7 linked regions of the Sus scrofa genome follow. The protein of the gene in region 1 purifies or fractionates together with the protein of each later gene. This does not show direct contact. Links are inferred from orthologs where the notes say so. Each region holds a gene or a part of one and is shown in the gene's direction. Other genes may lie near its edges. The genes, in order: DDX5, EZH2, TRIM25, SNW1, CDK9, HNRNPA1 and SRPK1.

Region 1 (2,755 bases):
GCCTACAGATCCATTTAAATGGGATTGGCGGGTGAGTAAAACCTTCAGTGCAGAGTGAAGTTGAGAAAATACTTCTCAAGAGTAGAGCTACCAATTCCTTTATGTTGTGATTTGTGCCATAGAAATAATCGATTTGCAATTTCTTTCTTGACAGGTCGTTCCAGGGGTAGAGGAGGCCTGAAGGATGACCGTCGGGACAGATACTCTGCGGGCAAAAGGGGTGGATTTAATACATTTAGAGACAGGGAAAATTATGACCGAGGTTACTCTAGTTTGCTTAAGAGAGATTTTGGAGCAAAAACTCAGAATGGTGTTTACAGTGCTGCAAATTACACCAATGGGAGCTTTGGAAGTAATTTTGTGTCTGCTGGTATACAGACCAGTTTTAGGACTGGTAATCCAACAGGGACTTACCAGAATGGTTATGATAGCACTCAGCAATATGGAAGTAATGTTCCAAATATGCACAATGGTATGAACCAACAGGCATATGCATATCCTGCTACTGCAGCTGCACCTATGATTGGTTATCCGATGCCAACAGGATATTCTCAATAAGACTTTAGAAGTATATGTAAATGTCTGTTTTTCATAATTGCTCTTTATATTGTGTGTTATCAGACAAGATAGTTATTTAAGAAACATGGGAAATGCAGAAATGACTGCAGTGCAGCAGTAATTATGGTGCACTTTTTCGCTATTTAAGTTGGATATTTCTCTACATTCCTGAAACAATTTTTAGGTTTTTTTTGTACTAGAAAATGCAGGCAGTGTTTTCACAAAAGTAAATGTACAGTGATTTGAAATACAATAAATGAAGGCAATGCATGGCCTTCCAATAAAAAATATTTGAAGACTGAAATAAGTGGAAATGGTACTTTATTTTACATATATAATGTCATGTAAAACTTGGCTTAGAAGGTGTGTTTTGTTTTTTTTTTTTTTAATCGTAAGAACTAAATTTACTGCTCCTTTCCATGATGTAGTTTTGGGGAGTGGGGAGATCAGAAGGCCTTTCTTACAGTTATCTATTCCTATAGCAAAAGATTAAAATTAGATTGATTTAGGTTAACAATTCTAGACTAAATTGTAAAGGCTTTGCCAGTACCCTCCAACATCAGGTGAGTCATTTAATAATGGTTTATTTGTTGGCAGAATGGTAAAATGAGGTACTGCAACATAGGAAATAATGTAACTATATAGCCCTACCCTCTGGCAGTTTAGTGTGAGAATGTGGATGATTTTGTTCATACTGCAAAATTTATAATTCAAAAATCTCCAAATACCTTTTTTTTTAAGAGACTATATATTTGTGCTGATAGCTATATTAGAAATAACAAATACTGAACAAAGCTGAAAGGCTATACCTTTTAGGGTGGTTGGCCAAAAAGTAAGTTTGAATTTGTTTGTTTTCAGTAGTCTTGGTGCTGACTGCTGTCAGGTAGTAATAGAGATGCTAGTCTTCACAGGTTTCCTGGGACTCCTAACTGAGTAGTGAATGTCCAGTAATTCAGGGAACTTTAGAGGACTTCAAACTGTAAGGTCTGTTCATGTTTAAATAAACATACACCAAAAAATCCTCAAGATTTAATTAATGGTTAACCTAGAGGAAGCCACATAACCAAAAAGCACAGTGACTGTAATCCAGGTCCTTTCGTGAGGGTCATCATGGGTTTATTGCTAGAAAGATTCAGCAGGTAGTTTTAGATTTAACTTTGGCTCACCAACCTTTCTAACACTTAATTTCAGTGATGGCTAGAAGTAGGCCTGAATGTCTTCCCAGAGAGTCTGGCACTTAGGTTTTTTTGCAAGGAGAGGAGAGGTCTTCCTTGAGATTTCATTTAAATCCTGATGATTAAAGTGAGACTTTAATTGGTGTTAATGCCTTATCTCTAAAGTGTAAAATGGGAATTTTCCTGGGGCAGGGTAAGGAGTGGCATTTTTAGGACTAATACATTGAAAACTGATTCAGCCTCTAGTAATTGAACAGTTTTCAATAGCATGATTAGTCAAATTCATTATGACTTTTAACTTATAAGAAGCTTTTGGGATAGGTTGGAGTATTTATTACATATTTTACTGTTTAATGTCTAACGTGGGCCTTTTAATTTGTAAACATTTACTGAAATGACTGTGGGACTGTGGAAAACATTTACCTATTTACCTTTGAAGTTTTAAAAGACAGTCCACTTTTTAGCATGTGTGTTGTGTCCAGCCTGTGGTTGTCTTAACCTAATAAATGTGATTTTTCTCCCTGTTCTCTCTTTTATTTATTTGCGTATAGGCCTCTTCCCTGGTGTGTTTTCCTGGGTGTGGAAAACACCTTGTTACCCAGCTCCACAGTTAATTACTATAATTGCTTTGGGGCAATATTGTTTCTAGTTTGTTTTTTTAATATGAAAAACTTCATACACATTCTTGTATGGAATGATTTCCTGAACCTGTCCTTCGCCTTGCTCATGATGAAGAATTTTGACTGTTGCGTGTTTACTCAATTGCTAAGCTGCTGTACGTAGTGGAATACAGTAGTCTCTTTCACCTGGGTTAACCTTTCAAGGTTAAGGAAAGCTGGAAATAGAAATTACGGGGTCTGGAATCAGCTATTTTCCTCTAGCTGACTTGTACCACATCTCCACTATTGGCAGTTTTCCTAAGGTCTGTAAAAATGAAAAGTCATCAAGCTGGCCAGGTACTCCTGCCACTCTGTTTTAAGAAGGTTTTTTATGAGTTTGTCTCATGTTTTGTTTTAGAAGAG
Region 2 (4,065 bases), on another chromosome or scaffold:
TTAGATCCCTGGCCTTGTTGAGCTGTGGAGTAGGTCGCAGATACGGCTTGGAGCCTGAGTTGCTGTGGCTGTGGTGTAGGCCGGATTCCACCCCTGGCCTGGGAAACTCCATACGCCTCGGATGAGGCCCTAAAAAGAAAAAAAAGAAAATTCAGAATAACCTTACCTTCACTGTCAGATAAATTAAAAGGGGAAACTGCATCCTAAACAGAATATTTCTAATTCTTATGGGTTGATACAGGCTCACCCGCAGATCATTTTTTTTTTTAACACTTGAAAGATGCTGCAATCATCCCAATTTTTTCCAGAGGCGTTAGCTCGAGGCAAGTGAACCCCACTCACCCCTGATAAATGATTAACGTTGACACGTGTTTGGAACTACAAACGCTGGAAGGTGCCGAACAAGGCGCTCAGAATGAGGAAACTGAAATAACAGTAGGGCTGCTGTTTCCCAGGTTTCTAAGGAGATGGGCACTGCGGCCTCGACCAACCAAAGTCCAGCGGGCCAGGGGATCTGAGTCGGGCCAAGCCACTGAGGGGCTTAGCAGAAAAAGTAGCTGGCAGAGCGCTCTGCTCGCACCGGAGGCGGCGCGCCAGTCCGACCAGACCGCGAAAGGCTCGGGGCTCCTCGCCCGAAACGAACCAGATTGGAGCCCGGACCGCAGAGCGTAACTGGCCGGCAATCGGGGTACCTCGCGCGCGTCCGCCGGCCGGCCTGCGCTTCGGCTCCGCGCGCGGGGAAAAGAGCGCGGCAGTTGAAACCGTTACCACCCCCGAGTTTTGAACTGGTTCAAACTTGGCTATCGGCCCCGCCCCGCCCCTCCGGCCCGGGAACTCTGAGGCTGCCGGCGGTTCCCGCCAAGCGCCGCGAGCGCGCCGTCCCGCCCCCTGGTCGGTTCCCGCCATCCTGCCCTGGCCGCCTCCCGCCCGCGGCCCGGGATTCGGGCTGCAGAGGCCCCATCGTCCCAGCCAGCCGACCCACCGCCTTCCTGAGAGGCGCCGTGCGTTCGGCGAAAGAACAAAGAGACGGCGCAGCGCTTCCACTCGGCGGCCGCGTCCCTCAGCGCCCGCCCGCTCGCGCGCACGCGCCGCCGGCCCGGCCCGGCTGAGTCCCGCGGGCTCCTCTGCGTGGGGCTGGCTCGCCGCCACGGAGCCCGGCGGGCCTTGTGATTGGACGGGAGCCCGCCTCGCGGCCCGCCAATCGGGGCGGCGCTTAGTTGGACAGGGGGGGCCAAATAAAAGCGATGGCGATTGGGCTGCCGGGTTTGGCGCTTGGTCCGGGAGCGTCCGACACCCACTGGGACGCAGAAGGCGGTGGAAGCCCGGCGGCGGTGGTGGCGCGCGGGAGCGGCGCGCGGGAGCGGAGCGGGCTGGGGCGCGGGGCTCAGGTAGCGTGCCGCTGTCGGGCCGGCCGGCCAGCGGGGCTCCGAAGCTCGGTGAGGGGCGGCGGCGGCGCCGGGATATCCCCGCCACCCCTCCGGGTATCGCCCAGAGCGGGCTTTCCCGGGGCGCCGCTTTGGCTGGAGGGGTGAGAGGAGACCCCTCGGAAGGGGCCGTGGCTTTGGGCTGGCCCGCGCGACCGCGGGGGCGGGCAGCGCCGCACCTGGCGACCTAAGGCGGGACCCCGGGCGGGCGCCCTGGGGGGCGAGCCGAGGGGTCTTCTCGCGCGCCCGCCCTTCGGGAGGCGCGGCGGCTGGGCTGGGGGCGCTCCGGTGCTCGGGGCGGGCCGGCCGCCCGAGCCCCTGTCTCCTTTGTGTGGAGCGTCGCGGCGGGAGCGCCCGGGTGGGACGGGACGCACACAAGTTGGTGGGACCTCGGCACCGAGTGCACACTCAGACAAAGGACGGACTGTGTCTCGGGGGAGCTCGGCGCGGGGAAGGGGCAGTGACACCCGGGCCTGACAGCGGGCGGGAGAGGGGCGTGGGGAGCGCGGGCCGCGGCGCAGGGGGCGGGCTGGGCCCCACGCCCCCTCCCCGCGAGCGCGCAGGCTCGGCCGGGGCCGAGGGGGCCGGGGCGGCGCTGGGAACCGAACTCGGAGCGGCTGCGGGTCTGACATTTCCCCGGAAAGCACCCCCGAACCCCTCGTCTCCACCCGCTCTGACGAGGCGGTCCCGGCCGCCTTTACCCCCTCGGCTGGCTTTCTGTTAAGTTTGAGGAAGGGTCGAGCCGTTCTCCCCCCGCTCGGTTTTGTTCGTTTCGGAGGGCTTTTCGTCGAGTTTCCGCGTCATTGTCCACCCCCCCAAAAAAAGTCGGTGCCATCAGGTCCCTTTTTGAAAATTGGAGGAATCGAGAAGCATGATATTTTGAAATGAAAACTTGGTGAACTCACGCCTGCTGAGTTCCCGCTTTCTAAAGAATCATATTTTTTTTAAAAAATTACATGCTCTTTCGGCCAACTTATGTGATACATCTGAGACTGGCGACAGGTGCTAACGAAATCAACTGTCATTTAGTAAGAGATTATTCTCCAAATCCCCAGGGATTGAATGAGGATGCGATGGTAGAAAGAATTGATCAAGCAAAATGTTTATGACAAATGTGTGTTTAGGTGGTCTGGTTAGCAATTCGTCATTAATTGGTCTTGTTTTCCGTGAACAATAGCTTTGTTGAGTCAGAAAAGACTGACTACAGAAATGTTTGTTGCCTAAGAAATTGAACGTGTGCTGTCCACAGTTAAGCTAAACTTCCTTTGTTTGTCACACAGGATCTGTAAAATTTAAGTCATTTGGAAACAAAGATATGTCTTTGGTATTTAAAAATATTTTACTTCAAGGTTTACTTTCTGGGTTTTAAAGGTCATTTATCGGATTAATTTTGTGGCTTTTTAATGTCACATAAAACACCATTTAAGAAAATCTTTAAAAAACACTAATGCTGATACAGTTGAATGTAGGCTATACTTCTAAGGGATTTTAAGAGCGTGTGGGATCCTAACCATTAGACCACCAGGGAGCTAGGGGGTTTGGAGTTTATTTTCCACTACTCTTCATTCATCACCGTTAGCAACTATTTTATGTTTGGAAATAAAATGTAGAACAAGTGTGTAATCCTAACAAGTTTATTGATAATTTTATTTCAAGAAAATGAAAGTATTTATGACCTATTTTAATTTCCTTTTCATATTACCTAAAGTTAGGAGTAGGTAGGGTTCTAGTCCTGGATGTAAAGAATCCTTTCTCTCTTTGTGGTGGTGTATTTGGGAATTTAATGCTTAAGTTCTTGAAAACACTTAGGAAAATGGCATCTTAAATTCTAGTCTTTGTGGCAGGGGAATATCTTCAAAGAAGAGGAATTTAGGAACATAGCACCGATTTGCATTGTTCTATCTGATGATCTAATGTTCACCCTACCATCTTACGGTTTCATAAATATGGAGACAAAGAAATGCAGTGTAAAAGTCTTTATTACATATTTTGCAGTGTTAGACACCGCTGAACAGACATTCCAGGTGCTGTCCTAAGTATTGTTTACTGTATTAGTTGCTAGTAATTATCTATTAAAAAGTCCTCCTGATAATCTGGCCTCTTGTTATAAGATGAGCTAGTTAGGGAGATTTTGGTAGATATTTGGATCTTTTAGGATAAGAAATTGCAGTTTTTCCTTACTTGTTTGTGTACACTATATTTGGCAATTACTGTCTTTGTAGTTGCCACAAGATTTATTTTTAAGTTTTTTTGGGGGAATTGGTTTTTAATTTTTTATTTGATTTGAAAATGTATTTAAGTAGCAGTGATTAAAAAAACCACACTTGTTGATTTAGTGAAGTTAGGCACACAAAAAAGCTGTAATACTTTGATATCAGCTTTGCCTTGCACACATACATATAGGTGATTGTCTTTGTGTTGGCCACTTAAAATTTTTAGGCAGATTTCCCCAGGTTACACTGAGGCTTTCTAGGATATCTTCCATCCTTTGAGCTGGCATGCTTAAGGAGAACGAATTAGTTTCCATCTTGGCCTAAAAAGCGGTAATTAAGAAAGTTGATTTTTTAAAAAATCAACAGCAATAAAAAAATCCTCTGATCTCATGCATTCTGGGGTTAATTAGAAATGACCAGTGGATTTG
Region 3 (3,500 bases), about 19 Mb from region 1:
GAAGGAGGAGGTGGAACTTGCCCTGACTAAGGGGGACGAGTTTGAGTTTCTGGAGGTGGGTTGTAGGCGGACCTTGTTGAACCCTCTTTCTGCTTGGCGTGATGGTGTGGACTAGGCGGTGTGGCGGGAGACCCTCCAGGACTTGGGGCTGTGGGAGGTCACGGGAAACATCCCTGGGATACATACTGTATTAGTTTTCAACATTTCTTTTTTTTCGTCTTTTGTCTTTTTAGGGCCGCACCCACAGCATAGGGAGGTTCCCAGGCTAGGGGTCGAATCGGAGCTGTAGCCCCCAGCCTACACCAGAGCCACAGCACTGTGGGATCTGAGCCGCGTCTGCGACCTACACCACAGCTCACGGCAACACTGGATCCTTAACCCCCGGAGCAAGGCCAGGGATCGAACCCGCAACCTCATGGTTCCTAGTCAGATTTGTTAACCACTGAGCTACGACAGGAACTCCAGTTTTCAACATTTCATGACAACTTCCCACACATTGAGTGGCTCAGAAGAACGTCTGTCTGTTACCTCACACTTTCCATGGCTCAGGGTCATGGCTTAGGTCTCACCAGGCTACATTCTTTATGGAGCTCAGGGTTGTCTTCCAAGCTCACAAGCTTGTTGGCAGAATCCAGTCTCTTGTGGTGCAGGACCAGGGTCCCTGTGTCCCTGCTGGCAGTCAGCCAGGTCCCCTTAAAGTTCCTATAGACTGCCTTGATTCCTTGCCCCATGACCCTCTCTCAGCTTGGCAGCTTACTTCAAAACCAGCAGAAAGGAGTTCCCTGGTGGCTCAGTGGGTTAAGGACCTGGCATTGTCACTACTGTGGCTCGGGTTGCTGCTGCTGTGTGGGTTTAACCCCTGGCCTGGGAACTTCCAACTACTAGGGGCACTGCCAAAAAAAAAAGAATTTCTCCCTCCAGCCCAGTCCCTCTTTTAAGGACTTTTACCTGATTAAGCGAGGCCCACCCAGGAGAATCATCTTTCTGATTAACTCAAAGATTCAGGATCTTAGTAATATCTGTAGCTTTTTCTTTTTTTTTTTTTTCTTTCTTTTTTTTTTTTTTTTTTTTTTTTTTGCCTTTAGAGCTGCCCAGGCTAGGGGTCAAATTGGAGCTGCAGCTGCTGGCCTATGGCCACAGTCACAGCAACACGGGATCCAAGCTGCGTCTGTGACTTAACACCACAGCTCATGGCAACACCGGATCCATAACCCACTGAGCGAGACCAAGGATCGAACTTTTTTTTTTATTATTATTATTACTCAGTGAATTTATTACATTTGTAGTTGTACAATGAATATCACATCCAATTTTATAGGATTTCAGGATCGAACTCAAAGTGGTACTTTAACCTCCAGCGACTTCTGGCTCTAATTTGAGAGACCGATGGGACTTAGAACCTGTGGCAAAGGGAAACTCCTCTGGGGCTCTCATATGAAGCCTGAGTCCTGGCCCCAGCTTCCCCAAAGTGGCCTGGACTAACCCCCTGGCTTGTTGCAGAAAGCAGCAAAACTACAAGGAATCACCACGAAGCCTGTCTACGTCCCCAAGGTGGAGCTGAACCATGAGCTGATAAAGGGCGTCTGTCAGGGCACCTCCGACCTCAAAAATGAGCTGAAGCGGTACCTCAGACAGTCCCAGGACAAGAAGCCCGAGGAGCCCACTGCCCCAGGTAGCCATCGGCAACCTCCCGGGCTCTCTCCCAGCACCCCAGAAATGGGGAGGGGTCCCTTTGGCGTCTTGGGGTGGGAGAGAGGCTCTTGATCTGAAGAACTGGGGCTTGAGTTTCAGGGGTTACAGGACAGTTGTCCTCCATCTAGGAGAGTCCTCCATCTAGGGAGTCTTGGCCTCATCCTGAGATTGTAGCCATCCTTCCTAAAACCTTTTTGGAGGCTGGATGTTGTGATGGGACTTTCTAGATGGGCTCTTTCTGTCTGAGTCATGTAACGGAACCAAACTTGGGTCTGCTTACCCGAGTGCGTTCAGGCCAAGTGACGAACACGGGGTCGTGATGATGGAAAGTGCGGTGTGTGTTGCAAGATACCAAACACGGAGTCTGGCTAGACTGGTAGCTAGTGCTTAAAAGGCCCCCCACTCCCCAAAGGCTTTCAGGGAAAGGTTTTTAAGAACAAAGTGAGGGAGTGGGGTTGTGGGCTGTGTGATTAGCTCGTGGACATCGTTTTGATTGGTGGGTGGTGAGATAAACATCAACCTTTTGGTTCCTGCCTGTCTGGGGTTTACGTGTTTGTGGGCAGCACACAGTTAACTTCCTCCTTCCAGTGGGGGTTTCAGTATCTGCAAAACAGCTCAAGGATCAGGCTCAGATTATTGTCTGTAGCCCTTGAGGAGGAGCTAAATGTCCTTGACTTTGTTTAATGACTAAACTCTTTTTTTTTTTTTTGGTCTATTTTGTCTTTTTTTTTTAGGGCCACACCCACGGCATATGGAGATTCCCAGTCTAGGGGTCCAATCAGAGCTACAGCTGCCAGCCTACACCACAGCCACAGCAATGCGGGTTCTGAGCTGCATCTGCAACCTACACCACAGCTCACAGCAACGCCAGATCCTTAACCCACTGAGTGAGGCAGGGATCGAACCTGCAACCTTATGGTTCCTCGTCGGATTCGTTTCCGCTGTGCCACGACAGGAACTCCTAAACTCTTATTGTTTTGTCTTGCTTGACTGTTTGCCTTTCTTTCTGCATTGTCTCACTTCTATGATTAAATTTACTCTTTGAGGGAAGGCCTAGGAGGTTAAAGGTTTTCTACAGAAGAGAGACCGGTGGAGAGTGCCTGTTTGGGTGGGGAGAAGGGTCTCTTTTGGGAAGAAGGACCCCATGGGGTCCTGCTCCATTACAGTCTGAGGTTGGCTCAGATGGGTTTTGAATGGATTCTGGGTTGTGGGGTGATTTGGTAGGGAAATGGCTAATTTGGGGGTCAGAGAAACATGGAATTCTTCCCCTACTCTTCCGCTTATATCCACCCATTATCAGATTTGGCTTCTAAAATATATCCTGATGGAAGTTCCCATTGTGGCTCAGTGGAAATGAATCCGACTAGTATCCACGAAGATGCAAGTTCAATCCCCGGCCTCACTCAGTCGGTTAAGGATCTGGTGTTGCTGTGAGCTGTGATTAGGTCGCAGACTGACCGGATCTGTGTAGGCCAGCAGCTACACCTCGGATTTGACCCCTAGCCTGGGAACATCCATACACTGCAGGTGCAGCCCTTAAAAAGCAAAAATAAAATAAAGCCCCAGTCCACACTGGCCTGCTGTCCATTGCAGCACCTGCGGTAGCTTCTTAACGAGCCCCTTCTGCGTCCACCCCTGTTGCAGGTGGAGAGAGCTTTTCAGGATACAAATCTGATCTCTCAGGACCTTCTCCTCTACCTCCTCTTCAGAGAACTTCCATTGCTTTTAGATTATGGACCCGACTCCTTGACCCCAGCTTTCAAGCCCCTGCCTGGTCAGGCCCTGTCTATCTGTCCAGCCCCGAAGTA
Region 4 (3,500 bases), on another chromosome or scaffold:
CTCCAGTGGCTCAGGTCACTGTTCTGACACAGGTTCAGTCTGGTGGCCCAGGACCTTGCACATGCTCTGAATGTGGCAAAAAAAAAAAGAAAAAACACTGTGAATGCTTCTTGAGGGGAGCAAATGTTCTTGGAAGAAAGCATTTTGTTCTAGTTTTCAAAGTAAAAGCTATGATTTTCTGGCAAGCTTAATGATTACCTAATGCAACAACTACAGTCCTGAAGTGCTTATTTTAGTTGAAGAACTCTAGCAAATCTGAGCATGTGTCAGAATGATGGCCCAGAGTACAGATAGCACCTTTCTTGGGAACGTTTTAACTATTTTCTGCCTAATTTACAAGAAAATGTCTCCTTTAGCTTTATTGTTTAGTTAAAAAAAAAGGCAAACCTTTCTCTAGCAAGTAAGCATTTTGTACCTAGAAAGTCATATATCCAGGGTCTGATGGAATATTTCTTGAAGAAAGAGGTAATATAAAAGTGGCTATTTTCATAATTTTTTTCATCAAACCCCTGCCAAATGATTGATATTAATATATTTTTCCTGTCGTATTTCAGTTTAGCAGAAAATTCAGAGATTTTTTTTGAAGTCAAATGATCTGGGTCAGGGAGTTCCCTGGCGGTCTAGTGACTCAGACTCGATGCTTTCACTGCTGGGGGGGAAAAAAAAAGATCTGGGTTCAAGTCCTGCATAACTACCATAAAACCTGGGAAAAATATCATTTTTAACTTAGTTTATCTAAAGTTGAATTTTTTCCATAGGAAATATGAGGCTTTTAAGAATTATAAGACAATATGTGTGGATTATATTTTGTACATTATAATAAGGTACTAAGCAAATATTAAATCTAACAAAAGTATTTAATGTTTGGTATTCATGTATTAATTTGATGACATACTTTTTTGTATTATTAAACTTCATCAACAGACTTTACTTAGCTTGTTTTACTTTAGAAATCTTTTTTTTTTTTTTTTTGTCTTTTTGCCATTTCTAGGGCTGCTCCCGTGGCACATGGAGGTTCCCAGGCTAGGGGTCTAATGGGAGCTGTAACTGCCGGCCTACACCAGAGCCACAGCAAGGCAGGATCTGAGCCATGTCTGCGACGTGTACCACGGCTCACAGCAACACCAGACCCTTAACCCACTGAGCAAAGCCAGGGATCGAACCCGTAACCTACTGGTTCCTAGTCAGATTTGTTAACCACTGAGCCATGACAGGAACTCCTTACTTTAGAAGTCTTAATTCTCTCTTCTAAACCATTGTATATAATCATCATTAGAAATGTGGTGAACTCATTTCCTATTTATCCGCTTCTCATGGAACACTGAATAAATAGTACATTATTAAAATCTGAAGAAGAAATATAATTCTTTACATTTCTGCTCTAACTATAGCTTGACTTCTATAGTGAGTTCTTCACAAAGAAAATTATGTATGCTAAAACAAAATCTTTTTCTTATGCTAAACAATTTGCCTAATTTCTTCCTGCCATGTACATAAAATCCATATCCTTGCCGTGGTTTAGGATCCCTTTCCTGATCTGGTGTTTGTCTGCTCATGCAGCTGTATCACCTATGTGTCTGCTCCTCTGCCCTCAGTAAGCTACAGCCCCACTGGACATTCTTCCTAGAACATGCCAACCTCATTCTTTTTTTTTTTTTGGGGGGGGGTTTGTCTTTTGTCTTTGTTGTTGTTGTTGCTGTTGCTATTTCTTGGGCCGCTCCCGCAGCATATGGAGGTTCCCAGGCTAGGGGTTGAATCGGAGCTGTAGCCACCGGGGCCTACGCCAGAGCCACAGCAACGCGGGATCCGAGCCGCGTCTGCAACCTACACCACAGCTCACGGCAACAACGCCGGATCGTCAACCCACTGAGCGAGGTCAGGGATCGAACCTGCAACCTCATGGTTCCTAGTCGGATTCATTAACCACTGCGCCACGACGGGAACTCCAACCTCATTCTTGCAGCAGAACCTTCTCACTTGCTGTTTGAATCTGCCTAGTAAATGCTTCCCGCAGATCCTCCCATGACTGATTTCTCATCATTCAGGCTTCAGTTCATGTTACCTCTTCACAAAGACTATCTCAACCACACTATTGAAAATAGCCCCTCTTCCTAGTCCCTTTCTTGCTTTCAAGGTGTTTATTACAAGCCAAAAATTATGCTTTTTATGTTTTTTCCTACGGAAATGTACACTCCACAAGATCAGGAACTTCTGTTTTGTTTACTGCTGTATCTCTAGCGTCTAGCATAATAAGGGCTAATAATTATTTGTTGAATGAATGAGTATATGTTGAATCTCAAATTACTATTAAATATTCTTTTTTGGCCACATCCACGGCATGTGGACATTCCTTGGCCAGGGATCAAACCCAAACCATAGCAGTAACACCACCAGATCCTTAACCCTCTATGCCACCAGGGACCTCTTCAAATTATTATTAAATAAATTCTTATTTCTTTTTAACATATAGGATTTTGGAGATGGAGGTGCTTTCCCAGAGATCCATGTGGCCCAGTATCCTCTGGATATGGGACGAAAGAAAAAAATGTCAAATGCACTGGCCATTCAGGTGGATGCTGAAGGAAAAATTAAGTATGATGCAATTGCTCGACAAGGACAGTCAAAAGACAAGGTAACCCTCTTACTAATTTTTTTTTCTCCATTGATAAATACTGTACGAGGAGTTTTTTTAATTGTGTGAAAATGATAAATCTCTGGTCATTTAGTTTATGTTAAAAATAACAGTGAAGCATACTTAGGCTAATTAAAAGTGACTTCATAATAGCAATGACTTTTTCCTTCGAAATTCCCCAAATTGATAATAGCTTATATATACTTAGGGTTTGTATGTATTTGTTTTACATTTTTAAAATAATTCTTTTTTTCTTCCAGTTTTATTGAGATATAATTGATGTACAGCACTGTATATTAAAAACAATTCTTTTCTAGTACTAACTTTTTTAAATGCTAGCAAATTTTTAAAATCCTAGCACCCTAAAAATGTCAAAATTTAGTTTTGTCTATAGTTTCTTCTGTTTCTCTTCCATGGACTCATAAAGTACATAGATGCTTAATTATTTTAATGGTTCGTTTGAATATAATCATACAAACTTCTTTCTCACTTAAGCACAAAACTAACACATGCTGGTTTTAGCATGGGCCTGCTTACAAAGTAATCCAAAGACCAAAAATAAAGTTTTACTTAAAATTATCTCATCACAGGGCAGCCACACTCAGAGCAAAGGAACTCTGCTTTAAGATCGAGTTTTTTTCTTATAAATAAATACTCCAAATAGAGGTTTAAAAAAAAATCTTTTTAGAATTGAAGATATTGGGGAAAGTACTTAATCATCAGAACCTGTCCTTTGTCTCTTCTCTTTCTCTGAAACATTTTCATTTTACCCTCTAAGACAGCAGTAATGATAAACCATCCTTTGCTCCTATGTCATGGCTGTTGAGCTTTGGGGGGAAACAATTAGGCAGTCATACAAATTTATATC
Region 5 (4,042 bases), on another chromosome or scaffold:
TTCAGGATTCCGCAGGAATGCCCAGCACTTGCTGAACACACAAGGGTTGTCGAATAAATGCTGGCTACTTTTGTGACTACCGACCCAGGCACGACCATCTTGGGCACAGCTCAGCTGGGACGGGGGTCCTGGGCCTCATCCCTGCCTCCCAGAGAATAGGGGGCCCGGGAGTTGCTCGCTTGCCGCCTCCAATGTCGCCGCGCCCCCTGGCGGCCATCGGTTGCCATATCAACGGCGGCCGGCGGGGGCCCGGAGAGGCGGGCGGTGGGGGCCGTTCTCTCCTCTCTGGACCCGAGGCTGCTTCCTCGGCGCCTCCCTCCTTTGCCTGTAGGGGGGCACCCGGAGCTGGGAAGGAAGGGGTTCCCTGAAGCTGCTGGCATGTGTGGGTAAACTGAGGCACGCGGCGAGTCGCCCAGCAGCCAGGTGTGGAGCGCGGGGCCCCACCTCCGAAGGCGGAGGAGGGGCCGCGGGCGGTGACGCGCCGAGGGCGGCGGGCGGACAGCGGGCGGGCGGGCGGCAGTGGCGGCGGCGGCGGCGGCGGCGGCAGCGGCGGCAGGTGCGGCCGCGAAGGGTGGGAGGGAGGAGGGAGGGGGCGGGCGGAGGGGGAGGGGAGGGCGAGGCCGGGGCACCTCCCCCTTTATAACGCGCCCCCTCCCGGGCTCTCGGGCCGCCTCCTCGTCGGCTCTTTCCGTCTGGCCCCCTCGTCCGGCCGCCCCGGGCCCGGGCCCGGCCAGGGAGCCCCCAGGCCGAGGCTTGGGGGGCGCCCCCCTCCCGCCGCCCCGCGCAGCCTGGCGGAGGCGGCGCCGTCGGAGGAGGAGGAGCAGGGCACTGCGGCTGGCCCCGGATCGGGCGCCAGAGCGGCAGCGGCTTCGGCAGCAGCGGCGGCCCGAGCCGATGCAGCGGGACGCACCACCCCGAGCCCCAGCCCCGGCGCCCCGGCTCCCCGCGCCCCCGATCGGGGCCGCCGCCAGCACTGGCGGCGGCGGAGGCGGGGGCAGCGGCGGTGGCGGAGGCGCCTCTGCAGCTCCGGCTCCTCCTGGCCTCCCGGGAACTACAAGTCCCAGGGGGCCTGGCGGCGGACGGCGGACGGAAGAGGCGGGGTCGGCGCCGCGGGGCCGGAAGTGGCCGTGGAGGCGGAAGTGGCGCGGCCGCGGAGGGGCCTGGAGCACGGCGGCGGGACCCGGAGCGGGAGCGGCGGCGGCAGCGGCGGCTGGAGGTGGCGGCGGCGCACTGGAGGCGGCCATGGCAAAGCAGTACGACTCGGTGGAGTGCCCCTTTTGTGATGAGGTGACCAAATATGAGAAGCTCGCTAAAATCGGCCAAGGCACCTTCGGGTAAGGCTGGGCCCCCAGGGACCAGGAGCCCTGAGCCTGCACCCCTCTGGACCGATGTCGAGACGCCCAGGCCCGTGTCCAGTTGGTTGGGAAGCCACCTAGCCGCAAACTTGTCCCCTGGTCTCGCTAGGCCGCACCGCAGCCCGCCCGTGCCTGACCGAGCCGGCTGGCGGGGAGGAGCCTGAGGCCCTTGATGGGAGGCAGGGAGGGGTTGCAGAGAGGAGCCTGTGAGTGGAGCGGGATCTCTCCCAGCAGCGGCGCCTGGGTGAGGAGAAAGGGCAAAGGGAAGGAAATAGAGGCTCGGAGAGGGACCGAAGATACCGCGCGTTGGTGTAGCCGAGGGCCCTCTGTACCCGGCCCAGCCCCGCCCGGGATTCCCTTTCCTGCCCTCCTCTGGTGGGGGCGGGGCGGGCCCTGCGGAAACGGCCTCAAGAGTCCTCTTGGGTCCCCCTTTCGGCCTGCAGGGAGGTGTTTAAGGCAAAGCACCGCAAGACCGGCCAAAAGGTGGCTCTGAAGAAGGTACTGATGGAGAACGAGAAGGAGGGGGTGAGTACGGGGCGGGTGGGCAGGCCTGCTAGGTCCCTTGGGCAGAGGTTGGGTTTCCACCCTGCTTCTGGGACTTTCATGCTGAGGTTGAATTTATGTGTTTAGGAATTTCTGTGTTCTATGGAATCTGACTTTCAGGTTAAATCTTTTAATTCAAATGTTTTAAAGAGTTTGATGTTTCATTCTCAGGTGCACGTGGTTGGTGCCAGGAGGGGGAGCTCATGCTTGCACTGAGTGCACCCTGGTTCCTGAAGTTAGGAAGTTTTTAAACACTTTTCCTTTGGGCTTTACTTTTGTCGAATGTTTAAAAAAAAAAATCATATGTCATAGCCCTAAAAGAGTAACTGGTATTCAATTGAAATGCTCCCCCCCCCATCGTAGCTCTAGTCCAGTTTCCCAAAGACCTGCTTCTTTATTTTTTGTCTTGTTAACCATGTAACAGGTTAAACACGGGTGCAGAGCTCTACATTATGAGTTTAAAGAAACCGTGCAGCATTTAATGGCTAGTCATAAAGCATTTGTGTGAAGTAGCAAAACTTCAAGTCATCGTCTGAAACCAGCTCCCGAAGGGGTACTTTCTACTAGTATGCCCGTGTTCTAAATATGGCATCTGAGGCAGCTCATTTCAGAGCCCACGATTTGACTCTGTCTCCCAACCTTCGACCCTTACTGTGGATCCCATGGCCAGTTCCTGGGTCAGTAGTGTGCTCTCCCGCTCTTGACCTCCTTGTCTTTCTCTCACCCAGTTCCCCATCACGGCCTTGCGGGAAATCAAGATCCTCCAGCTCCTAAAACACGAGAACGTGGTCAACCTGATTGAGATCTGTCGAACCAAAGGTAAGCTGTTTGGATCTTGCCCTCCGTTTTCAGGTGGGGAGAATGAGGCTTCTCGCCTCAGGTTTTGCTGGCGGAGCTGGAACCGGACCCACTTCACTGCCTCTTCTTAACCCAGACACACCACCTGCAACTGCTTTCCCGGGTCCTTTTGTGGGAGCAGGTGCTTCCCCAGGGCCTGCCACAGCGCCCGGCCCAGAGAAGCACTCAGAAAATATTTTACCCGTGCAGGAATGGGCAGCCACATACCCACTGTCCATAGGTTGGAGGGGGTAGGAGCTGGTTGTGGGAAGATGAGTTGCGTGTGAGGTTTTTGATTTTTTTTTTTTTTTCCCACCCCTCTCTTTCTCCCTCGTGCTTCCTGACTCAGCTTCCCCCTATAACCGCTGCAAAGGCAGCATATACCTGGTGTTTGACTTCTGTGAACATGACCTCGCCGGGCTGCTGAGCAACGTCTTAGTCAAGTTCACGCTGTCGGAGATCAAGCGGGTCATGCAGATGTTGCTCAATGGCCTCTACTACATCCACAGGAACAAGGTGGGGGCCGGGGTCGGGGGTCGGGGGGAGACCCAGGCTGGCCTGGGCTCTCCGTGCGGGGTGGGTGCGGCTCAGGGCCCCTGGCTACCCCCGCCCGTGTGCTTCCCGCAGATCCTGCACCGGGACATGAAGGCGGCCAACGTGCTCATCACCCGCGACGGGGTGCTGAAGCTGGCCGACTTCGGGCTGGCCCGGGCCTTCAGCCTTGCCAAGAACAGCCAGCCCAACCGCTACACCAACCGTGTGGTGACGCTCTGGTACCGGCCCCCGGAGCTGTTGCTCGGTGAGGACGCTTGAGCAGGCCTAGGAGGGGCAGGAGGCTGGGCCCTTAGCCAGCCTCCGCTCCCCCCTGCCTGGGCTTCTTGAGCTGCCGGCCCTGGGGCCCCGCGCCTCCGGAGGCCGGGCTCAAGGGGCCCTCCTGGTGTGCTCTTCTCAGGGGAGCGGGACTACGGCCCCCCCATCGACCTGTGGGGTGCCGGGTGCATCATGGCGGAGATGTGGACACGCAGCCCCATCATGCAGGGCAACACGGAGCAGCACCAGCTTGCCCTCATCAGCCAGCTCTGTGGCTCCATCACCCCTGAGGTGCGTCGCCAGGCTGTCTGGGCCCCGCAGGCTGCAGAGATCCAGACCTCTCCTTGGTAGAGGAGGGGCAGGGCGGGGAGCAGAGGGAGAGGTGGCTGGCGGAGGGTCACAATCTGCTCTTTGGGGCCACATGGACTGTGTTCACCGGCTCCATCACCGGTTAGGTCAATGCTTTTGGGCGAGGCTTCTGAACCTTTCAGAGCTGA
Region 6 (4,193 bases), on another chromosome or scaffold:
GGCACGGAGGCCCACAGGTTTTGTTAAAGTCATTGTGAATAAAATAGCCCCTACGCGCCATCACAGGCATTGAATCCCCTTCCTCGCATCCCCAAATCTAAGACCTCCCTCTTTTGGAGCGCTGATTGGACGAACAGCCTGAGCGCTTTCCAGAGGCTGCTCGCCTACTGGCTCCCGATTTGGTCCATCCACCTAACCGCCCAACTCCCGCATCCCCCATTGGAGTCAAATCGTGGCCTCTTGGAGGAGCCCAACCTACCGCGCGCTTCGTGCTCATTGGCTCAGTGAGATGCTGCTCAGGAGGAGAAAGCCCGCCTCCCACATACCGATGGCCCAAGGACCGATGAGTCGGCAGCTAAGGACAGCCCCAATTGGCCTATACACTCGCCAGTCAAACTCTTCCGCTGCAAAGCTCCACAGAACCTACGGGGATAAAACATCCCGCCCCCGTTCTTCCATTGGTTGGCCGATCTCACCGCTCCCCCTTCACGAGCCCCCACCCCGAGGTCCATTCATTTCACACAATAACGGGCCCAGTTGGAGTCAGTTCAAGACCTCGTATGGGTAGGCAAGATGGTCCGCCACTTACCGGGGGTCGAGACCGATCACTCACGCTAACGCCTCGCCTGTTCCTCTGTGGTGCGGCCGGACCACAAGCCACCGCCGCCGCCGCCTTCTGCGCAACGCCAACCGCCCGCCAAAACGGATCCTTCCCTGCGCCTGCGCGACCAATCCTGGGACCCGACCCTTTCCCCGCCCATTACGCCTGCGCAAAAGGGGGCACAACTCCCGCCACTACGCAGGCGCCTTAGGTTCGCCGCTGTCTCCTGCCCGCCATTTCACGTGTTGCAAGCTCCGGGCGGAACTTCTTAGCGCGCCTGCGTAAACTCGCCATTTTACTACACATGCGCTCAGCAGGCGATCTTGCCCCCGCCCCCGTTCCGCCAAATTGTCACATGCTAGCTACTTTTTTGATACATAGTATTAAAAATGCTTTGACACAGGCGTTGAATATTCCGGACATAGCTAATTAAAAAGTTATCTCAATACCCGAAATAATTCAAATATGAATCATTGGTTGACCAGCCAATCAGTCTAGTTAAGAATAATATTACTTAGGAACCAATGGACCGGGAGGGGTTGAGACTGCGTAGAACGCCCAAACGGATGACGTTACACAGCAACGCATACGAGAGACCAATAGTGGGGGAAAGCTATGTCAAATATCCAATCAGAGCTACTCAGGGGCGGAGTCTACCAATGCCGAACGCGAGGAGGCGGGATAAAAAAGCGAGGCCGAAGGTAGGCTGGCAGACTCGTTCGTTAGATTACTCCTTTCTGCCCCCGGACGCCGCCGAGTAAGCATCGTTGTAACCTCCTCCCCACTACCGTCATGTCTAAGTCAGAGGTGAGTGAGACTCTTTTTTCATCTGCGTTTTCTTCTTCGCCGCTTGCTGAGTTTGGTAGGGTGCAGTCTGGTTTGGCTGCTTGCACCAGCCTTTTCGGCAGTTCTTCGGTCGCTGCCGGGGCCTACCCCTCCCTGAGTTCAGGTCGCCATTTTGTCCTCGTCGCCATGAGGCTGTCGTCGTGCAATCCTTGGTTATCACGCTGCTCTCGTTCTTTTTTGCAATGCTCGTGGACACATTCGGTCTGTTTTTCATCCTTGTCCTAGTGGACGACTTTCTTAAAGAGTAGCTGTAGTCCAATTTTGGCGATGCACGCCCTCCCAGTCCTTTTGTTGCGCGTGCGTCGTAGGGAGAGTAAGGGGCGCATGCGCTCGCCGCTTCCCAGCCCCCAACATACCGCCTCCCCAGATGGGGAGAAGCACGTGGCTTACAGCGACCCGAGGGAACAATAAAAGCTTCGTACGTTGCTACCTGGTGTTGCTTCTTGTAGCGGGGAGCTTGTTTGCGTTATAGCCCTATTTAACGCTTTTTTTGCCCCTACTTCTAGTCTCCCAAAGAGCCCGAACAGCTGCGGAAGCTCTTCATCGGAGGTTTGAGCTTTGAAACAACCGATGAGAGTCTGAGGAGCCATTTTGAGCAATGGGGAACGCTCACAGACTGTGTGGTAAGACTTGGAAGAGACAAAAGGCCTTAGAGCTAGTTGTTTTTCTTGGCTTATCTCGCTGTCGTTGCTGTTTGAATGCTTATGAAGATTCCTATTGACTTTATAGCTTACTTGACAAAGGAAGGTGTGGCTTCATAGCTGAAAAGCTCCCAATTGTTAGGTTTAAGGGGTGGGGGCGGTGGTCATTGAAGAGCTTCGTTTAGAGGGTTGGTAGAAAGTTTTCCATTGCCTTAGTCAAGGTAGAAAAGGCTGTAACTTCTGGTGTCTTACCATGTGCTAAATAAACATTAAAGGTAATGAGGGACCCAAACACCAAGCGCTCCAGAGGTTTCGGGTTTGTCACGTATGCCACTGTGGAGGAGGTGGATGCAGCCATGAATGCAAGGCCGCACAAGGTGGATGGAAGAGTTGTGGAACCAAAGAGGGCCGTCTCAAGAGAAGTAAGTGATGTTTTTCTTGTGTTTCATCGACTGGAAATGTTCGATTAGCAGGATTCACTCACATTAAGGGGATGTAACAGACTTAGTATTAACATGGTCTTAGGATTGTTACTATTTTCTCCCCCTTTAGGATTCTCAAAGACCTGGTGCCCACTTAACTGTGAAAAAGATTTTTGTTGGTGGCATTAAAGAAGACACTGAAGAACATCACCTAAGAGATTATTTTGAACAGTATGGGAAAATCGAAGTGATTGAAATCATGACGGACAGGGGCAGTGGCAAAAAGAGAGGTTTTGCTTTTGTAACTTTTGATGACCATGACTCCGTAGACAAGATTGTCAGTAAGTAGCAGGTGGTTGGCATTCGCTAAGAGTTCTGAAATCCATTTGTGTCCTAAACTCTGAGATGGTGTCTTACTTTCAAATTTTTCAGTTCAGAAATACCACACTGTGAATGGCCACAACTGTGAAGTGAGGAAAGCCCTATCCAAGCAAGAGATGGCTAGTGCTTCATCCAGCCAAAGAGGTGAGTTTGTTGCTTAATTAAACCTTAAGCATCATTTTGAATGATTTTAACCGGTACAATTTAACGTTAACATTTTTTTCTTCAGGTCGAAGTGGTTCTGGAAACTTTGGTGGTGGTCGTGGAGGTGGTTTTGGTGGAAATGACAACTTTGGTCGTGGGGGAAACTTTAGTGGTCGAGGTATGTATGGTTTTTTATTATTTTAACGCTTCTTAGAATTTAGGCTTAGAAGGGTGTGATTTGTATGCGATCCACATACTTCAAACCTGGCTTTTAAATTCTGTTCCAGGTGGCTTTGGTGGCAGTCGTGGTGGTGGTGGATATGGTGGCAGTGGGGATGGCTATAATGGATTTGGTAATGACGGTAAGTTTTTTTGTTTTTACTGTTAAAATTTTGTGTGTGCGTGTGTGGGTTTTTTTAGTTCGTTTTGTTGTTGGATTTTTTTGTTTTTTAAGAAACTACAGGTAAAAAGTTTGACTACTTTTAGAATAGGCTAGTAGATACTAAAACTTTAGTGCATGATAAGTTCAAGTTTGACTCTTACAGCATGTTGTGAGCCGGCCTTTAGCCATCATGCTTGCACAGAATTTGAATGTTGAATACTTGTGTCTTATTGAGAAGAATTGTATTCTTGTAGGTGGTTATGGAGGAGGCGGCCCTGGTTACTCTGGAGGAAGCAGAGGCTATGGAAGTGGTGGACAGGGTTATGGAAACCAGGGCAGTGGCTATGGCGGGAGTGGCAGCTATGACAGCTATAACAACGGAGGAGGCGGAGGCGGCTTTGGCGGTGGTAGTGGTAGGTATCCAGTGATCCAAGTACTTGGTGCAAATAGCTAGCTTAGCCATATGGGAACTTGATGCTCTCTAGGCATAATGTGTTTTACTGCATGGTACTTTCTTTTAATGGGCTTGCAATGCTACCTCCTCCTAGCTTTAAGCTGGGGCCGCCTCACTCCCAAATAGATTAAGGGGGATAGTGGTGCCTACAGTTAATCGGGATTAGGTTAGCTTTTATTTAGGCACTTAGTTGATGTATCCAGCATGTGTTTGCGGTGCCCCTGGATGGGTAACAACAGCCTTCGAGGCTAGAGACTATACTACTTGCTCTACCATGGTGAGTCAGGGGTAAATTTCTAGCTACTGGATTATTCAACTGAAT
Region 7 (4,035 bases), on another chromosome or scaffold:
GCGGCTCAGATCCTGCGTTGCTGTGGCTCTGGCATAGGCTGGTGGCTACAGCTCCTGTTTGACCCCTAGCCTGGGAACCTCCATATGCCGCGGGAGCGGCTCAAGAAATGCAAAAAAAAAAAAAAAAAAAAAAGATCAACAGAAGAATAGTTGATGATTCATGAAAATTACATGAAATTCAAATTTCAAGGATAATAAATAAGGTATTCGGAGAACACTGACAGCTTCTGAGTTCCACTTGCAGAGCTGAATTGCTAAGAAACTTTACGACCCACAAGCTTTAATATTTACTATATGGCCCCTTACAGAAAAACTTTGTTAATACTACTTTACAACAAGGATTTGATAATTCAATCAATGCTTCAGGACACCAAAATTCTGAGTACATATCGCCTCCAAGTTTTTGTTTCTACAGTGGAAGTAATAACTATCTTGCCTTTAAGCTGTCATGAACATCAAATGTATTATCAAAGATAATGCACTTAGAAAAGTATAAAAATATTCTTTAAAAAAAGACAAGTGCATTTATCTGTGGAAAGATGATGAAGTGCTAAATTAAGAAAACACTATAAGTTTTTATTCTCCCGCTTCCTTTAATACCTTCATTTAAACCTGAAATTTTAAAAGAAAACTCACTTTTCGACTTTTTTTTTTTTGATACGATAACATCACAGGTTCCTTCCAGTCTTTTTTTGTGTGTTGCTCCCACTTCCTTTTCTTTCTCCCATTTTTTTTCCCGTCTTTTCTAGGGCCACACCCACGGCATATGGAGGTTCCCAGGCTAGGGATAGGAACTGTAGCCGCCAGCCTACGCCACAGCCACAGCAACGCCAGATCCCAGCCGCATCTGCGACCTACACCACAGTTCAGGGCAACGCCGGATCCTTAACCCACTGAGCAAGGTCATGGATCTAACCGAAAGCTCATGGTTCCTAGGCGGATTCCTTAACCACTGAGCCACCTCGGGAACTCCAAAAAAATTTTTTTAATAAATTTTATTGGTGTATAGGCGACTTACAATGCTGTGTTAGTTTCAGGTGTACAGCAAAGTGAATCAGCCATACATGTACATATACACCCATTTTCTTAATATAGTATCTCATTTGGCCCTCAGAAGAACTCTCTGGACTAACTAGGACACACCTGGGACTATTCCATTTTACAGACCAGGAAACGGAGGCAGTTTACAGTTGGCTGCGGAGCTCTGACTCAGCACGCAGGGAACCCTCAATGGCCACGCTCTTCGCCATTCCTCAGAAGCAACCGCTCGAAAATAGAACAAAGCTGATCTTCCCAAGCTTCCAAGTTTGGTTCTCAAACACCCCGGGAACATTCACCCGAGGCGTTCTTTCCTCCCCTTCCTCCCCTATTCTCTACGCCCCCCCCCCCGTCTCGGGAGCAGGTGGTAGGCTCCGCGCTCAACGCGCAGGCGCGCGCCGTCGTGGGCGGGGGCGGGGCGGGAACTGGGGGGCGGGGTGTGCGCGGGCTTGGTTTGGGGCCGCGGCGGGAGCGGGAGTCACCGCCACTCCAGTGCGCAGGCGCCTGGCGGTTACCGGTCTCGCCATGGAGCGGAAAGGTGAGCGGTGGAGCGGCCTCCGCCACGAGGGGCAGCGGCCGCCGGGGCGAGGCCCGGGTCAACGCCGGGAATTTGGCCTAACCGCCGCCGTCCGGTCCCCGGGTGTGCGGCGGTCCTCCGCCGAGGTGGCGCCGCCCCGCAACCCCCGCCTTTGGGCTGCGGGTCCGCGCCCCTCAGCCCGGGCGTCCTTCCGCGCCGGCAGGCATCGCCCCTTGTTCCTTGCCCCGCCGGCCCACGCCTCGCGGCCACTCCAGGGCCCGGCCCTCGGCGACCGAGGCCGACCCCCGCCAGCCAGCCCCTTGACACGGCCCGAGCCCCCTCGGGCGCGCCTCGCCTGGACGCTTCTCTGCGCGGGGTGGGCCCCCAGCCCCCTGAGCGGCCGCCCGGCCGACTTCGCGGCACTCGCCCCGGAGCTGATCCTCAGGCAGGCCCCGCATCCGGGCCTCGAGCCCCAGCTGGGTCTCCACCCTTACCTTGGCCGCCTCCTTTCCTCCCCACTCGCCCTTCATCCATCCCTCTCTCCTGCAGTGCTTGCGCTCCAGGCCCGAAAGAAAAGGACCAAGGCCAAGAAGGACAAAGCCCAAAGGAAGTGAGTCTCGAACCCCAACGTCCCATTCTTTGGGTCCCCCCCCCTCCGGCACCTCTTCTCCTCCGGTTTCACGCCTTGAACATGCAGCGGGTGTGGGGACCCTGCGGCCCCAGCCACATGGCCTCGAGGCGGCTGAAGGAGGGTCGCCCCCCCCCCCAACCATGTGGAACGGAGCTTCTGTTGCTGAAGGCCAGGTCTGGGTCTGAGCAGCCCCACGCCTGCAGGAAAGGGCTTTTGGGGGAGGACCAGAGCCCGACCTGTCCATTTACCTTCCCAACGCCAGAGAGGAGGCCCAAGATCCCCGAATTTGGGCCTCCCCACGGAGGTGGTAGATCATTATCAGCTTGTGAACTCTGCTCCCTTTTCCACACCTGCTTCCCAGCGTCTTCACTTGCCTGCTACATCTGAGGTTAGGCAGTCAGGGAATTCGTGAATGAATGTTCCGTAATTTGGTCTGCTTTTTATAGGAGAGGGCATGGAGCTTCCCCTCGGGTCAGGCAACTTGCTGAGCCTGCCAGGCGCATCGCTTTCCTTGCCGAGTGCAGGCAGACCACTGGGTCTCTTCTTCCTGAACCTCAAGTCCTCGCCCTGAATGCACATACCTTCTGTAGTGGGCATCACAGAGGTGCCAGGGAGGTTCTTTAGTCAGCGCTGTTGGTGATTACGGTTTGGTGTATGTCCGTTTTTATCAGCAGGATGCATAATCGTGGTTTAGTGCTATTGTGGGAAACACAAAAGTTGGCCAGAGCTTCTTAGAAACGCCCAGTAGAGGGCTTCTGCAATTCTTCTTAGTCTGAAGAACTTTTATGTTGTACTCACGTTTAATTGCAGAGGGTTTTGGAAATTGTCTTCTAGAAAAATATGCATTTTTTTCCTGATAGCTTTTCATTCCATTTATTTGGATTTACATGGAGTACACCATCTAAGTCTTTCTGAGCAATAAAATTTATTTCACAGGCTTTCCTGGATTTCCTTTCTGAATGGCAATGCCAAATGGGTGTGTGTGTGTGTGTGTGTGTGTTGTGTGTGTGTGTGTGTGTGTGTGTTGTTTTTGGTGGCTACCTAATGTTTCCAGAGAGCAAAAATGACATAAATAGAGCTAAACTGGTAGGTGACCTCACCTCTTGCTTCATTTCTATGCAGTGTCTTATTAAACTTACTTTGTAAAGTGCTTGGTAACTTTAATGCATTTAAATGTGAGTTTATCTATATATGTTTGTGTACTTATTTGCTTCTTGATTATCCAGGTATGGATGATTCAAAAACCAGTTTTTACTCTCAGATTGGTTTAATGAAACAGCGAGGAGCTAACCTCATTCTTCTATGCATTGGAATTTAAATGTTACTCTGTGCATGTGTGTGCACCCCACTGGCAGGGCATGTGGTTACCTTCTTCCCTGTGGAGTTGATATGAATGTGTTATAAAACAATAGGTTTACTGCTGATGTAAGGAGCTGGTGATTTTTATTGTTCACTGTATCATTTAGAATTCATCTGTCTGATCTCTCTCCAGAGGAAATAAATATGTATGGGTGATCATATACTTTATTTTTAACACCAGATATTTATTACTTTGGATTATCTATTTAGACCATATACTTTATTTCTAAAGCTGAATATATGTCCTTTGGATTATCTGTTATTCCTCCATTTCACTACTGCGGATAACTAAGAGTTACTTGTGTTCTTAATTATTTATGTACTTGCGCAAAAGCGAGTGAATAGTATAGTTAATTAGCAGTTATTTTACTGAATATTTCATTTTGTACAACTTTGACTCCTTGAGTCATCCCCATTTACTTGTAGTTTCAGAAGTGCTTTTTTTCTTCAATTAATAGTGTTTCTTGATCATTTTACCTTTTGTTTGTTT

Evidence for each region.
Region 2: the proteins of DDX5 (region 1) and EZH2 purify together in Homo sapiens (affinity purification with mass spectrometry; 4 studies listed by BioGRID, with this or other methods). This does not show direct contact. The link is inferred for Sus scrofa from reciprocal best matches to the Homo sapiens genes DDX5 and EZH2.
Region 3: the proteins of DDX5 (region 1) and TRIM25 purify together in Homo sapiens (affinity purification with western blotting; 3 studies listed by BioGRID, with this or other methods). This does not show direct contact. The link is inferred for Sus scrofa from reciprocal best matches to the Homo sapiens genes DDX5 and TRIM25.
Region 4: the proteins of DDX5 (region 1) and SNW1 fractionate together in Homo sapiens (co-fractionation; 3 studies listed by BioGRID and IntAct, with this or other methods). This does not show direct contact. The link is inferred for Sus scrofa from reciprocal best matches to the Homo sapiens genes DDX5 and SNW1.
Region 5: the proteins of DDX5 (region 1) and CDK9 purify together in Homo sapiens (affinity purification with western blotting; 3 studies listed by BioGRID, with this or other methods). This does not show direct contact. The link is inferred for Sus scrofa from reciprocal best matches to the Homo sapiens genes DDX5 and CDK9.
Region 6: the proteins of DDX5 (region 1) and HNRNPA1 purify together in Homo sapiens (affinity purification with mass spectrometry; 4 studies listed by BioGRID and IntAct, with this or other methods). This does not show direct contact. The link is inferred for Sus scrofa from reciprocal best matches to the Homo sapiens genes DDX5 and HNRNPA1.
Region 7: the proteins of DDX5 (region 1) and SRPK1 purify together in Homo sapiens (affinity purification with mass spectrometry; 3 studies listed by BioGRID and IntAct, with this or other methods). This does not show direct contact. The link is inferred for Sus scrofa from reciprocal best matches to the Homo sapiens genes DDX5 and SRPK1.

Annotation. Positions count from the first base shown.
Region 1 is NC_010454.4:14,578,486-14,581,240, forward strand, and holds the end of DDX5 (probable ATP-dependent RNA helicase DDX5), read left to right. Parts: intron 1-154; coding exon 155-558; 3' UTR 559-2,255; downstream 2,256-2,755. UniProt on the Homo sapiens protein: Involved in the alternative regulation of pre-mRNA splicing; its RNA helicase activity is necessary for increasing tau exon 10 inclusion and occurs in a RBM4-dependent manner. Binds to the tau pre-mRNA in the stem-loop region downstream of exon 10.
Region 2 is NC_010451.4:109,383,751-109,387,815, forward strand, and holds the start of EZH2 (histone-lysine N-methyltransferase EZH2), read left to right. Parts: upstream 1-1,265; 5' UTR 1,266-1,388; intron 1,389-1,412; exon of another isoform or gene 1,413-1,436; intron 1,437-4,065. UniProt on the Homo sapiens protein: Polycomb group (PcG) protein. Catalytic subunit of the PRC2/EED-EZH2 complex, which methylates 'Lys-9' (H3K9me) and 'Lys-27' (H3K27me) of histone H3, leading to transcriptional repression of the affected target gene.
Region 3 is NC_010454.4:33,198,941-33,202,440, reverse strand, and holds part of TRIM25 (E3 ubiquitin/ISG15 ligase TRIM25), read left to right. Parts: coding exon 1-55; intron 56-1,500; coding exon 1,501-1,672; intron 1,673-3,500.
Region 4 is NC_010449.5:100,739,415-100,742,914, reverse strand, and holds part of SNW1 (SNW domain-containing protein 1), read left to right. Parts: intron 1-2,470; coding exon 2,471-2,632; intron 2,633-3,500. UniProt on the Homo sapiens protein: Involved in pre-mRNA splicing as component of the spliceosome. As a component of the minor spliceosome, involved in the splicing of U12-type introns in pre-mRNAs.
Region 5 is NC_010443.5:268,275,841-268,279,882, forward strand, and holds the start of CDK9 (cyclin-dependent kinase 9), read left to right. Parts: upstream 1-1,242; coding exon 1,243-1,334; intron 1,335-1,798; coding exon 1,799-1,880; intron 1,881-2,626; coding exon 2,627-2,717; intron 2,718-3,084; coding exon 3,085-3,251; intron 3,252-3,362; coding exon 3,363-3,534; intron 3,535-3,687; coding exon 3,688-3,836; intron 3,837-4,042. UniProt on the Homo sapiens protein: Protein kinase involved in the regulation of transcription.
Region 6 is NC_010447.5:19,483,784-19,487,976, forward strand, and holds the start of HNRNPA1 (heterogeneous nuclear ribonucleoprotein A1), read left to right. Parts: upstream 1-1,393; coding exon 1,394-1,408; intron 1,409-1,953; coding exon 1,954-2,070; intron 2,071-2,363; coding exon 2,364-2,510; intron 2,511-2,640; coding exon 2,641-2,851; intron 2,852-2,942; coding exon 2,943-3,035; intron 3,036-3,120; coding exon 3,121-3,213; intron 3,214-3,322; coding exon 3,323-3,397; intron 3,398-3,671; coding exon of another isoform or gene 3,672-3,830; intron 3,831-4,193. UniProt on the Homo sapiens protein: Involved in the packaging of pre-mRNA into hnRNP particles, transport of poly(A) mRNA from the nucleus to the cytoplasm and modulation of splice site selection.
Region 7 is NC_010449.5:31,698,506-31,702,540, reverse strand, and holds the start of SRPK1 (SRSF protein kinase 1), read left to right. Parts: upstream 1-1,235; 5' UTR 1,236-1,563; coding exon 1,564-1,576; coding exon of another isoform or gene 1,577-2,104; coding exon 2,105-2,165; intron 2,166-4,035. UniProt on the Homo sapiens protein: Serine/arginine-rich protein-specific kinase which specifically phosphorylates its substrates at serine residues located in regions rich in arginine/serine dipeptides, known as RS domains and is involved in the phosphorylation of SR splicing factors and the regulation of splicing.